Linked DNA regions of Saccharomyces cerevisiae S288C. The gene in region 3 interacts genetically with the main gene of each other region. Each region holds a gene or a part of one and is shown on either strand. Other genes may lie near its edges. The genes, in order: ARO9, HOS3 and AAT2.

What was found.
Region 1: of AAT2 (region 3) and ARO9, changing one suppresses a phenotype caused by changing the other (phenotypic suppression), as found in Saccharomyces cerevisiae (one study listed by BioGRID).
Region 2: mutations in AAT2 (region 3) and HOS3 impair growth when combined (synthetic growth defect), as found in Saccharomyces cerevisiae (one study listed by BioGRID).

The regions. Positions count from the first base shown.
Region 1 is NC_001140.6:374,140-377,906, reverse strand, and holds ARO9 (aromatic-amino-acid:2-oxoglutarate transaminase), read right to left. Parts: upstream 2,199-3,767; coding exon 657-2,198; downstream 1-656. Other genes in the region: YHR138C (uncharacterized protein), read left to right, coding at 208-552; SPL2 (Spl2p), read left to right, coding at 2,807-3,253; serine/threonine protein kinase YCK1, read left to right, coding at 3,597-3,767. UniProt on the Saccharomyces cerevisiae protein: General aromatic amino acid transaminase involved in several otherwise unrelated metabolic pathways. Mainly involved in tryptophan degradation.
Region 2 is NC_001148.4:327,932-332,265, reverse strand, and holds HOS3 (histone deacetylase), read right to left. Parts: upstream 2,661-4,334; coding exon 567-2,660; downstream 1-566. Other genes in the region: GTPase-activating protein BEM3, read left to right, coding at 1-166; isopentenyl-diphosphate delta-isomerase IDI1, read left to right, coding at 3,536-4,334. UniProt on the Saccharomyces cerevisiae protein: Responsible for the deacetylation of lysine residues on the N-terminal part of the core histones (H2A, H2B, H3 and H4).
Region 3 is NC_001144.5:196,296-199,724, forward strand, and holds AAT2 (aspartate transaminase AAT2), read right to left. Parts: upstream 1,791-3,429; coding exon 534-1,790; downstream 1-533. Other genes in the region: SED5 (t-SNARE syntaxin), read right to left, coding at 1-177; bifunctional phosphoribosylaminoimidazolecarboxamide formyltransferase/IMP cyclohydrolase ADE16, read right to left, coding at 3,245-3,429. UniProt on the Saccharomyces cerevisiae protein: Plays a key role in amino acid metabolism.

The DNA.
Region 1 (3,767 bases), on a different chromosome or scaffold from region 3:
GTTCCTATTAAATTTGATTATTCCGATTAGATCGGTCGGCGCTACCAAAAAGAGGCGAAGAAAAGAGGAAAACGCAAGTGGATAAAGGGGTGGGGGGCAAAAGTATTTAAGAAAAAGCGATGCGATGGAGAGAACAAATGGATAAGTTGCGTTTCCTCGTTATATTACAACATTTAAATCTATTGTGTAACAGACTATAGCATATATATGAAGGCCAGTTACTTAGTTTTGATTTTCATTAGCATATTCTCCATGGCACAGGCATCTTCCTTATCATCATACATCGTAACTTTCCCCAAGACGGATAATATGGCTACGGACCAGAATAGCATTATTGAAGATGTCAAAAAATATGTGGTGGACATAGGGGGTAAAATAACACACGAATATAGCTTGATAAAGGGCTTTACAGTGGACTTACCTGATAGCGACCAAATTTTGGACGGTCTGAAAGAACGTTTGAGCTATATTGAAAGCGAGTACGGTGCTAAATGCAATTTGGAAAAGGATTCAGAAGTTCATGCTCTAAACCGTGACCATTTAGTTGCTTAGAGTAATTTAAAATATACGCGACTATAACTTTTTCCCAACTTTTATACAAAAAACTACAATTTATATATGATATGCAAATAACACATAGGTTTAATCTTCACTGTTCAACTTTTATAGTTGTCAAAAAATTCTTTTATGCCACTACCGATTCTTTTGGAAGCTTCAATCAACTGATCATCATCCCTTGCATAGGCGATGGTGAGTCTTAGAAAATCTGAATTCTGCTTTGAATAATTTGGGCAAACAGCCATTTTATAACCAAGCACTACTTTAACACCATTCTTCAGCAAGAACTTATCTAAAATATCCATCTGTTGCGGCAAATCGTCAGGTCTATCGAAATTCCCCCAATTGATTTTAATAATGATGAACATACCCGCGGAGGGTTCCATAACGGTAAACTGACCAGCTTGGTAAGATTCTGTTTCGTATAAGGCTTTCAAAGTAAGATTTTTCCTATGATTGTATTTAGAAGCAATCTGCATTATCCATCTTATCCAACCCTCAAACATTGCTTCTTTCATAGAAAGAGAGGACGATAAGTTGGACTCAGCCATTGCCTTTATTGTAGAATAAACAATAGCTTGTGAGGTACCACTGGGGGCCCTTGTAGTAATGTCGGCCAAATCCAAGATTTTTTGCAAAAGGAATTTATTAGCAACGATGAAGGATAACCTTAATCCAGGAGCAAAAATTTTAGAAAAAGTCTCCAAACGGATGACACGGGCATCTGTATCCAAAGTCAAGAATGATTTCATTAAAAAATCATTCAAATACCGTTCAGTAGTCAGGTCGCTAGAATGGTAAGGGTTTTCTAATGGCTCTTGCGGATTATAGGAAGGAAAGTACAGATAACCGTAGGGATCATCTTCAACAATGAGGAAATCGTGTCTTTGGGCCAACTGGTAAATTTTCTCTCTTTTCCACTGGGGGACAGACATCCCGGTAGGATTTTGGCCCGTTGCAATGGTATATAGGACCCTTGGCTTGTTTAAGTCTTTGTATGGTCCAGTTGACCAATTATCGAGCAACTGCGTTAGATATTCGACATCAATACCCTGGGACTCTCTGTCGAAGGTCAGGTTCATCTTGATGGGGATGACTTTTGCTCCTGTAGCCTCCACATTGGACATAGCCGGGGTGAAAGTAAACTCTTCAATCATCACAGTGGTCGATTCGTCGCAAATTGTTTCAAAAACCTTAAACATTGAATCGTTGGACCCGCCAGAAAGGATGACATCCCAGTTAGACTCCGTCTCATCGGAAAAGGCTGGGCGATTAATTCTGGACACAAAATCTTTAACAAAATGTAAGAGAGGGGGTAAACCCTTGGTTTCTGCATATTGGAAAGAACGTGCAATGGGTAGCTCACTGGGGGATCCCAAGTCCAAATGCGCCGTGGTAAACGAATTATGCCATTTTGGGTTATCATTAAAAGGAACTTTTGATATTTTCAAATCCATAGATTCGATAGGAAAAAATCTCTCGTTTGGCATTCCACCAGCTAGCTCAATGACGTCATCTGAGATATCAGAAGCATCCCAAAAGCTTTTCAGAGATCTATTTTCTACTCTTCTGGAGAGAAACGGTTGGAAGTTCTTCTTTAAGGAAGTGTAATCAACAGGGGGGGCAGAACCAGCAGTCATTGAGTCGATGAGAGAGTGTAATTGTGGTATGTGTGTATTTTTATGTTTACACTGGGATATTACAAGACCAAATCAAGCTTTTTCCTTTATATATATCAAATATTTATAATGTTTCCTACCCCAATGATGGTTCGGTTATCCGCGGCAAATCTCGGTAAGCATCGGCAATGCTTCCGCGAGTTACCGCTTTTTTTTTTTTATTCCTTTGTTATTATCTACGGCCGTCGGCGGCAATAGTATTTTTGCTCACGTGACCGACAAGGGTCCATTTTATTGCGGTACGGCTCTCTCTTTTTTTTTTTCTCCTCTTCAACTTCTCTCTGATTGCAAACAATATATAACATAACCATGTTCATTACGTACGAAAATATATATACATAAATGCATGGCAGTTATGGCAATTACAACTACAACGCCGTAAAGTTCCAAACGCAGCGGCCTGAGATAGTAAATGATGTACGCACGTGGGCGAAAGTTCATTACTTTGACTGTTGTAACATACCGTATCTCTCTTTTCCCACGTGCTCCGCTCTCTTATCTACCTTGGCGGTACAGCCCTGCGCGGAGTCACTGCAGCCACGTGCCTAGATCTATTACTATGACTTCCCATGGGCACATATACGCCATTAATATACAATATATATAACGTTCATATATGGGTATTTACAGAGAGCCAGGGGCAAATTGGACAGATGTCTCCACGCGGCAAAATGGAAACAGCAGTTTCACAAGGACAACACAAACAACTTAAAGATGGTCACCAGCATAAGGGAAGAAAACTCTCCGAGGAGATCGCTTCTCTATTGAGGCTCAAAGAGTGCAGGAGGCTCAATCCTGCTAGTTACTATACTCCACGTAGAACATCGCAGTCACAATCTCTCAGTGGATCAACTTTTAAAGAGTATAACGAGTACATTAATGAGAAAGATTCAAGTAGAGCGCAGCGTCAAAACGCTGCCGCCGTTTTAAGCAAGCTCGCCCATGACTTTTGGGAGAACGACTGTGTCATTGACGAAGACATATTCGAAGATTCGTCTGACGAAGAACAATCATGATTGCATCTCTTAATCGTTACACATACATACCTTCTACCTCTGTACTGTTACATATGCATTGACTTTACGATCTAATATAAATCCTTTTGATGTTACCCCGCCTGTGGGCTCGTTCTCCTTTCGTTTCTTACGATTTTTTCGCCGGAACAAGAAAAAACAGAACAAAACAAATCAGCGATCGTATACATGGGTCTTTGATTTCTGCTTGCTTCTTACAAACAACAAACGCAAACCGTTCATTGAGTGCTCTGTGACTGGTTTTCATGTGGATGCCATAGTAGAGAAAAGACACATACAAAAATTTCGCGCATTCGCTGGCCCTTTTCCTGCTCTCCTCTTCCCCATGTCCATGCCCATAGCAAGTACCACTCTAGCAGTTAACAACCTCACCAATATAAACGGAAACGCAAATTTTAACGTACAAGCAAACAAACAACTCCACCACCAGGCTGTCGACTCGCCCGCAAGATCTTCGATGACCGCCACGACCGCCGCCAACTCCAACAGCAACTCT
Region 2 (4,334 bases), on a different chromosome or scaffold from region 3:
TAAGATGAATCTAAGAAATTTATGCATCGTGTTTTCCCCAACTCTAAATATTCCAATTAGTATGCTTCAACCATTCATCACTGACTTTGCGTGTATATTTCAGGGTGGTGAACCAGTTAAAGAAGAGGAAAGGGAGAAAGTAGATATACATATTCCTCAGGTTTGATGGTCTAAAATTGTAGAAATATAACGTTGCCAGTAAACCTCCATTGATTTAATGATAGAAAGAGGGCGAGATGTATAGAGGCTTCTTTCTTTCAACGATATATTTGTAATAATAAAAAAATGTCAGGCTGATAAAGCTTATAGAGTGACTGTCTTTTTATTCCTCAAATGTTATTTACAATACCATATAATAAAATTAGTATATTGTCAAATAAAATAAGAGAAAAAAACTAACTTCTTGACCAAATGGTCGAAGAGCTGAGATAAAGAAGGAAAAAAATTAAAATTACTAACTATACAAGGAAATATAAAAATAGAAAAATTGTGTTACTAAATACAAAAAAGTAATATATGCGTCACTTCTTTAGTGGGTTCAAGACAACATTATATATGCATTGGTATCACCATCTTCCACCACTTCTTGTTGTATGTTTTCTTGAAACATGAGAAATCATTGATATATCACTATCGTCATAAGTTGGTGTATTTGCGTTTTGAGGCTGTCTTATGCGATGCGGTTTCGTATTGGAGGGAATTTTATACATTCCATTACCTTGTAGACGGCGTTGGTGCGAGTTTTTCCAATTTTTTTCTTTTAGCTCATGGTCTGAATCTTCATCACCTTTTTTTTCAATTTCTAAGGTCTCCAAATGTCTAGAAATATCATCAATGGTAATATCCTCCACCGTGCGATTGAAAGTTTTGTTCAATTCTTCATCGTAAACGTATTCTTCATCTTCATCCTCACTGGAAAATTCTTGTTGCAAAAACGGAATTTGGGTTTCAGCTGCTCTATTATTTGACGAGAGCTGCTTGACCTTGGTATCGCTTCTAATTTCCCTTTGTTCCTGTTTTTCCGTGCTTCTCGGCTTGTTTTCATGAAGTTCTTTTTCTGGGGAAGCGTTGCTTCTATGAGATCTGATTATTCTTTGAGCAATTGTCGACGTGGATGCTGGTTCGACAGTAGCCTTTAGTAGAGAATTAGAAGGTGCGCTGTTAACTGCGTCTTTAAAAATGATATCATCGAATTCCGGTATCATTGCTCGTCCCAGCCTGATAACTTCTTCTGCCCATATTCTTATGACATCTTTTGCTCTTTTTGTCTTATAGGGTTTCCAAGCCGGTTTGCAACCACGAACAATCTCTTTAACGACTTGTTCAGACCCCCATTCTTTAACCCAATCTTGGTTTTGTAAACCGATCAAATGTGCGAAAACACCAGAACATATAGCTTTATCAGAATATCCACCCTCCATTAGAGACAAAACTTTGCCATGACAGTGCATTTGTGCTAATTTCAATGCATCTTTGGTGAACGTTGTATAAAAACTTGTAGGAACGTTGACACTATGCCTTTGCATTGAAGTTTGCTCAAATTCTGATGCATCGAAACCTGCGCTTATGACAACCAAACCTTTGAATGGTCTCCCTTGTTGATTCATTTCTAGTTTTGCGCTCCTGAAAAATTCATCTGCTTTAGCAAATAAAGTTCTATATTTTGTCCTGTATAATACATTGAATTCTTCTTCGGTTGTCCATTTGGATAAGTGAATATTCCAGATGTTTAGGTCATGAGAGTTCATGATACAGGTAGATGCATTTTTAATGTTCTCCTTTGTGGCAAATCCCGACTCTGTTGGAAATGAATTTATATCATGCATAGAAAAATAACCGACTTTGGGAAATTCGGCAAATTTCTTACCAAAATCATCATAAGATGAATCTTCAGGTTCCTCCTCAGGTTTGAAACCCGCACGTTTCCAGCAAATGTCTTGGGTCCCATCACCGTGGTGTAGATCGAAATCAAGCACGACAACATGCGTGACGTTGTAAGTATCATACGCATATTCTATGGCTACATGTGCATTGTTTAACAGACAAAAGCCGGATGGTGTACCATAGTGGCAATGATGACCAGGAGGCCGTATAGCAACAAAAGCTCTGTTACTAATATGTTCTGCAGATGGTCCTTTGAAAATTGAGTCAACACCAGTTTCAATGGCCCCAATTGTTCCCTGTAGAGCTTTAATTGTCTTTGAGCTCAAGTATATATCACCTGAGTTCCAAGTATCTGGGACTTCGATTTCGCCTTTTAGCAATTTAGCATCTGCCATTTGGCAAAGTTCAATTAACTCAGCCGGCCAGCTACTGCCATGAACTTTAAGCACATGAGGTGCCATCAATGAACCTTTCCTTTGATGCGAGGATTTCAAGGTGAAAAGGGATGGATACATTGTAATCGCAGCTGATATACCCATCGAGCTTGCTAATAATCTTTCTGGTCGTTCGACTATAGTTTTCCTATACGATTTTGTTACCCATTCTCTCGGGAACACATGCTGTAAAGAATATGGGGATAGTACTACAACAGCTTTTGCAGATTCCGGTATTTGTGCGGCAGCTCGAGCTGCCGATATGACATTAGGGTTATTTTGAACAAATGCTTGAAATTGCTTATAAAATCTCTCCAATGGATCTGAATGCTTGGAAGACATATTATATCGTCGAATTTCTCTGTTTACTTCCAGAGCCCTTTTTTTCGTTATATTTTCAGTGACTTAAGAAGTATTGGAGAAACTGAACTGATCAACTCCACACGAAAAGAAAGTTTGTAATTTGGAAAAGGACTAGTTTTTCAAAAGAGAAGATCTGATAATAGATCAAGCGATAAAAAAATTAACAAGATCTTATTGTTCAATTCAGAAAAAAACGTAAACAAAAAATAGTTCTTCATGTTTAAAGGAAAGAGTAAAATAGTATTATCCCTTGATTAGTTGTTTACAATTCTTGAAACTTTCCCAAACTGTTGTTTACATTTCTCTAAAACAAAAATAAAAACATGAGCAGGGTAACACTCAAGGGTCCTAAAAAAATTAGGTTTTATTACAGAAATTGTATAGGACATTTTTAATATTACGAGGGTAAATAAATAACAGTCACAGAATAGTATAGGTTATTAAGGGCTTCATGCGGCTATTTTGCCTATATTAATTTCTTTTTTTTTTCTTTTTTCTTTTTTTCCGCTGCTATCGGTAAAAGTTTCCGTTCTTGCTGGAACGAAATGGACAAAACTTAATTGTGATTGAAATTTTTCCAGTCAACAGTTTCGCAATGACGATGCCCAGCCGATTCTTTTCCCTTTAATTGTTATTAAGAAACATGATTATTCATAACTCTTTTCTTGTCGATGGGGGTTGCCTTTCTTTTTCGGTCTTAACTCCATTTATATTTATTTATTCATTTTTATCTATTTAACAGGAAACAGTTTTCTAGTGACAAGAAGGCGTATATCCCACTTAATTCAATATTAGAGTATTCGTATTTGGAATACAGGAAGAGTAAAAATAAGCCAAAAATTCATTACACCTCAATGACTGCCGACAACAATAGTATGCCCCATGGTGCAGTATCTAGTTACGCCAAATTAGTGCAAAACCAAACACCTGAAGACATTTTGGAAGAGTTTCCTGAAATTATTCCATTACAACAAAGACCTAATACCCGATCTAGTGAGACGTCAAATGACGAAAGCGGAGAAACATGTTTTTCTGGTCATGATGAGGAGCAAATTAAGTTAATGAATGAAAATTGTATTGTTTTGGATTGGGACGATAATGCTATTGGTGCCGGTACCAAGAAAGTTTGTCATTTAATGGAAAATATTGAAAAGGGTTTACTACATCGTGCATTCTCCGTCTTTATTTTCAATGAACAAGGTGAATTACTTTTACAACAAAGAGCCACTGAAAAAATAACTTTCCCTGATCTTTGGACTAACACATGCTGCTCTCATCCACTATGTATTGATGACGAATTAGGTTTGAAGGGTAAGCTAGACGATAAGATTAAGGGCGCTATTACTGCGGCGGTGAGAAAACTAGATCATGAATTAGGTATTCCAGAAGATGAAACTAAGACAAGGGGTAAGTTTCACTTTTTAAACAGAATCCATTACATGGCACCAAGCAATGAACCATGGGGTGAACATGAAATTGATTACATCCTATTTTATAAGATCAACGCTAAAGAAAACTTGACTGTCAACCCAAACGTCAATGAAGTTAGAGACTTCAAATGGGTTTCACCAAATGATTTGAAAACTATGTTTGCTGACCCAAGTTACAAGTTTACGCCTTGGTTTAAGATTATTTGCGAGAATTACTTATTCA
Region 3 (3,429 bases):
AGAAGCCTTTTTTTGAAACTCAGAGACACTTTTCCCATTGCCGGTTGTGTTGTTGGCAAAGTTTTCACTTTCTTTCTCTTGTAGACGTTCCCTCTGCTGTTCTCTAAAGTTTTTGTTTCTTTTCTTGTAACTCAACACACTTTGTTGAAATTCTGAAGTTCTATCCTTTATGTTCATGGGAGTTGTGTGGTATGGTGAAATGGTCGTTGGAAACAGAGGTGGAATAAAATATATACAGTAAAGAGTGGGTGATTTCCGTTCAAAGGTCTAACAGGAGCGTCGATGCGGCGGTAGGATTTTTTTTTTTTTTTCAATTTCTATATTGACATTATTATCATAATGATTGTTTCGAATATGCCCTTTCGCCTCGCCTCGATCAATAAACCTACCCGGATATTACAACAACATAATAATACACCTGTGAAGGTAAAGAAAGAGCATTTCTCTTTTTTTTATTTTTTTTTTTTTTTACTTTCTTTACATTAAAAAAAATATGAAGAGTGTAATAGGTAAGTATAAGTATTATTTAATCATTACAATTTAGCTTCAATAGTATAGAAGCGCACCACTTCATCAATGGCTTTAGCCACGTATTCCACGTTTCCTTGATTCAATCCAGCAATAGAAGCTCTACCTGAGGCAACCAAGTAAACTGCGTGGGTTTCTTCAAGTCGTTTAACCATTTGAGGAGTCAATCCTGTAAAGGAGAACATCCCGCATTGATTTACTATATGATCCCAGTTGCCAGGAGTGCCCAACTTGACTAAATGGTCTCTTAATGCGTGCCTCATTTTCGTAATTCTGGAGGACATGGTAACCATATCCTTGTGCCACTGTTCCGTTAATTCTGGCGTTTCCAACAGTTTAGCGACAATCTTAGCGCCGTAGGCGGGTGGGTTGGACACTTCACTACGAATGATTTTGGCCAATTGAGATGTAACAGCAGGCTTTATAGTTTTGTTTTGAGCTTGTTTTGTAAGTGCTAGATGGAAACAACCTACACGCTCACCGTACATACCGGCGTTCTTGGCAAAGGACTGACAGACAAAGACGGGAGAGACCGTTGAAAGCTTCTCCACACCTAGACGCACAGCATAGGCATCCTTGTCCAAATCTCCAGTGGCAAACCCTTGGTAGGCGGTGTCAAATAAGGCGATGTGGTTCTTTGAGGCGATAGCATCAACGATTTGAACCCATTGTTCACTAGTAGGGTCCAGACCAGTTGGGTTATGGGCGCAAGAGTGCAGAACGAAAATGGAGCCCTCTGGAGCTTTTTGAATAGCATTTAGAAAGCCGTTTAGGTCCAAAGACTTAGTTTCGTTGGCCCAGTAAGGGTAAGTCGCCGTTTTCAAGCCTTGATTCTCAAAAATGGCCATGTGGTTGGCCCAAGTAGGCTTAGACAAATAGACCAGTTTATCTGGGAAGAATTTTGAAAAAAACTTCGCAGATATATGAAGAGCACCCGTACCAGACAGTGATTGTACTGAGATTACTCTGTCTTCCTGAAAGGCATCGGATTGCGTACCGAAGATGATCTTGGCGGCGTTAGATGTCAAACTTGGCAGACCGGTAATACCGAGGTATTCATGGTTGTAGGAGCTGTCGTTATGAATTAGCTTTTCGGCGGCTTTAACACTTGGCAAGACCCATGGTTTACCGTTGTCGTCTCTGTAGGCCCCGATACCCAAGTCGACCTTGGTAGCACGTTGATCTTGCCCGTACCTTTGCTTAATACCAAAAAGGGCATCAGGGGGCAGCAATTCGATGTTATTGAACAGAGTGGCAGACATTATCGCTCTTGTGTTCTTGTATTCCTGTGTTCTTTTGTTCATTAGAATTTGGACGGTTGCGCTTTCCCTTCTTAAAGTATCCACATACGTTTATATACCGACGTGCAAGGCGACAAGGTAAATGAGGCCGATCACGCTGACTCACTCGGTCCGACTCTCGGCGATCGTTATTCACGAAGACGAAAGATAGCCATTTCCAGTGGTGACCATTAGTATTGACAATATGTACATCGCATTAAACAGTAAGAAAACATTAATATTCCGTCAGGAATTCCTGTAAATTGCTCTTACTACAAACCTGCAATGCCCATATCATCATATTCAAAGTAAAAATTTCATTTTCCGTAATTATTCTTATCTTTGGGTGCTTTGTGGCAGCTACTGGAGTAATTGTGTATAATAGATGCCACTAGTGCAGTTAAATGAAATATCCTACATTGAGAGTTTAAAAAATTGCCTCCTTGTATGTTTCTTGTAAATAATGATTTTATGTCCTTCTAGCGTAGTAACCCTAAACCATCAGCGGCTATTATTAACATTGTTACCCTGACAGTGCTTTTTTATTTCAAGAAAAATTTTCCTTTAGATTCTCTCGCCTATATAAACACTTTGAAACTCTCATCGTCGTGCATTTAACTTCTATGGTAAACTTCTTTTCCCATTCAAGTTTCTCTTTGCTTATTTGTAAAAAAAAAAGTAACCATAGTCTCGTGCTAGTTCGGTACTATACAGGGAAGGGAAGTCACTCGCATACGTGTGTGTGCATTTCTTGCTATTGCTGCTTAGCTTCTCTAAAACACTGGGCTAGCGTTTTTCAACGCTCGAGAGGCAGAGTCTCAAGGAGCCTCCAATGGGCCTCACGTATTCATCTAGATGGCGCTTCGGACAACGGCATCACATAAGAGATGCAGCTCCTGACTTCTCCTCTGATCTTCGTGATCAGAGTTTTGAGTCGTCAGACTACGAGCAGTTTCTCTTAGTCGTTGCATCGGGTGCTGTTGCCTTAACGATGTGTATATGGGGTTCGGGGGCTGTTGCCATGATATATATGGATGAGACAGAAGTGGCCCCGTTGACGAGTTTAACTTAGATTAAGTAGGACGCATGATCTTGAGCTCTTTTCCTATACTTTGTCCTATGGCCAGCTTTCTCCTTATTACGAAGAGATTGCGGGATGTGGGTGCAGAGTGGGAAAATCTGAGTTCGGTCATCTTTGTTGTTCGTCCTACCGCAGTATATTCCTAAACACTATGAAATGACCCTAGTTGGTCCATGATCATTTGGGTAAAACCATACTGCAGACATCTCTATAATTCACATATTCACATCTTGTCCTCTCGCAGAAGAGGAAGGCCTTTGACGTAGAAAATTAAGTAAATCGTATACGTTTACGTATATACACTTGTATTCAGCTATATATGTTGTTTCTGTTCTTCTCATAAAATGTACCCTACTTAGTGGTGGAATAAACGAATTGGGTTCTCCACGTAGACGATATCAAATGAATCCGCCGCTTGGAAGACAACTTTGTCCATGACAGACCCCGAAGGAGCCGTGATGAACTTTACACCAGACTGCACAGCTCTATAAACGTTGTCTGGGAAGGGAAAGAACGCATCGGATGATAACGATACATTGT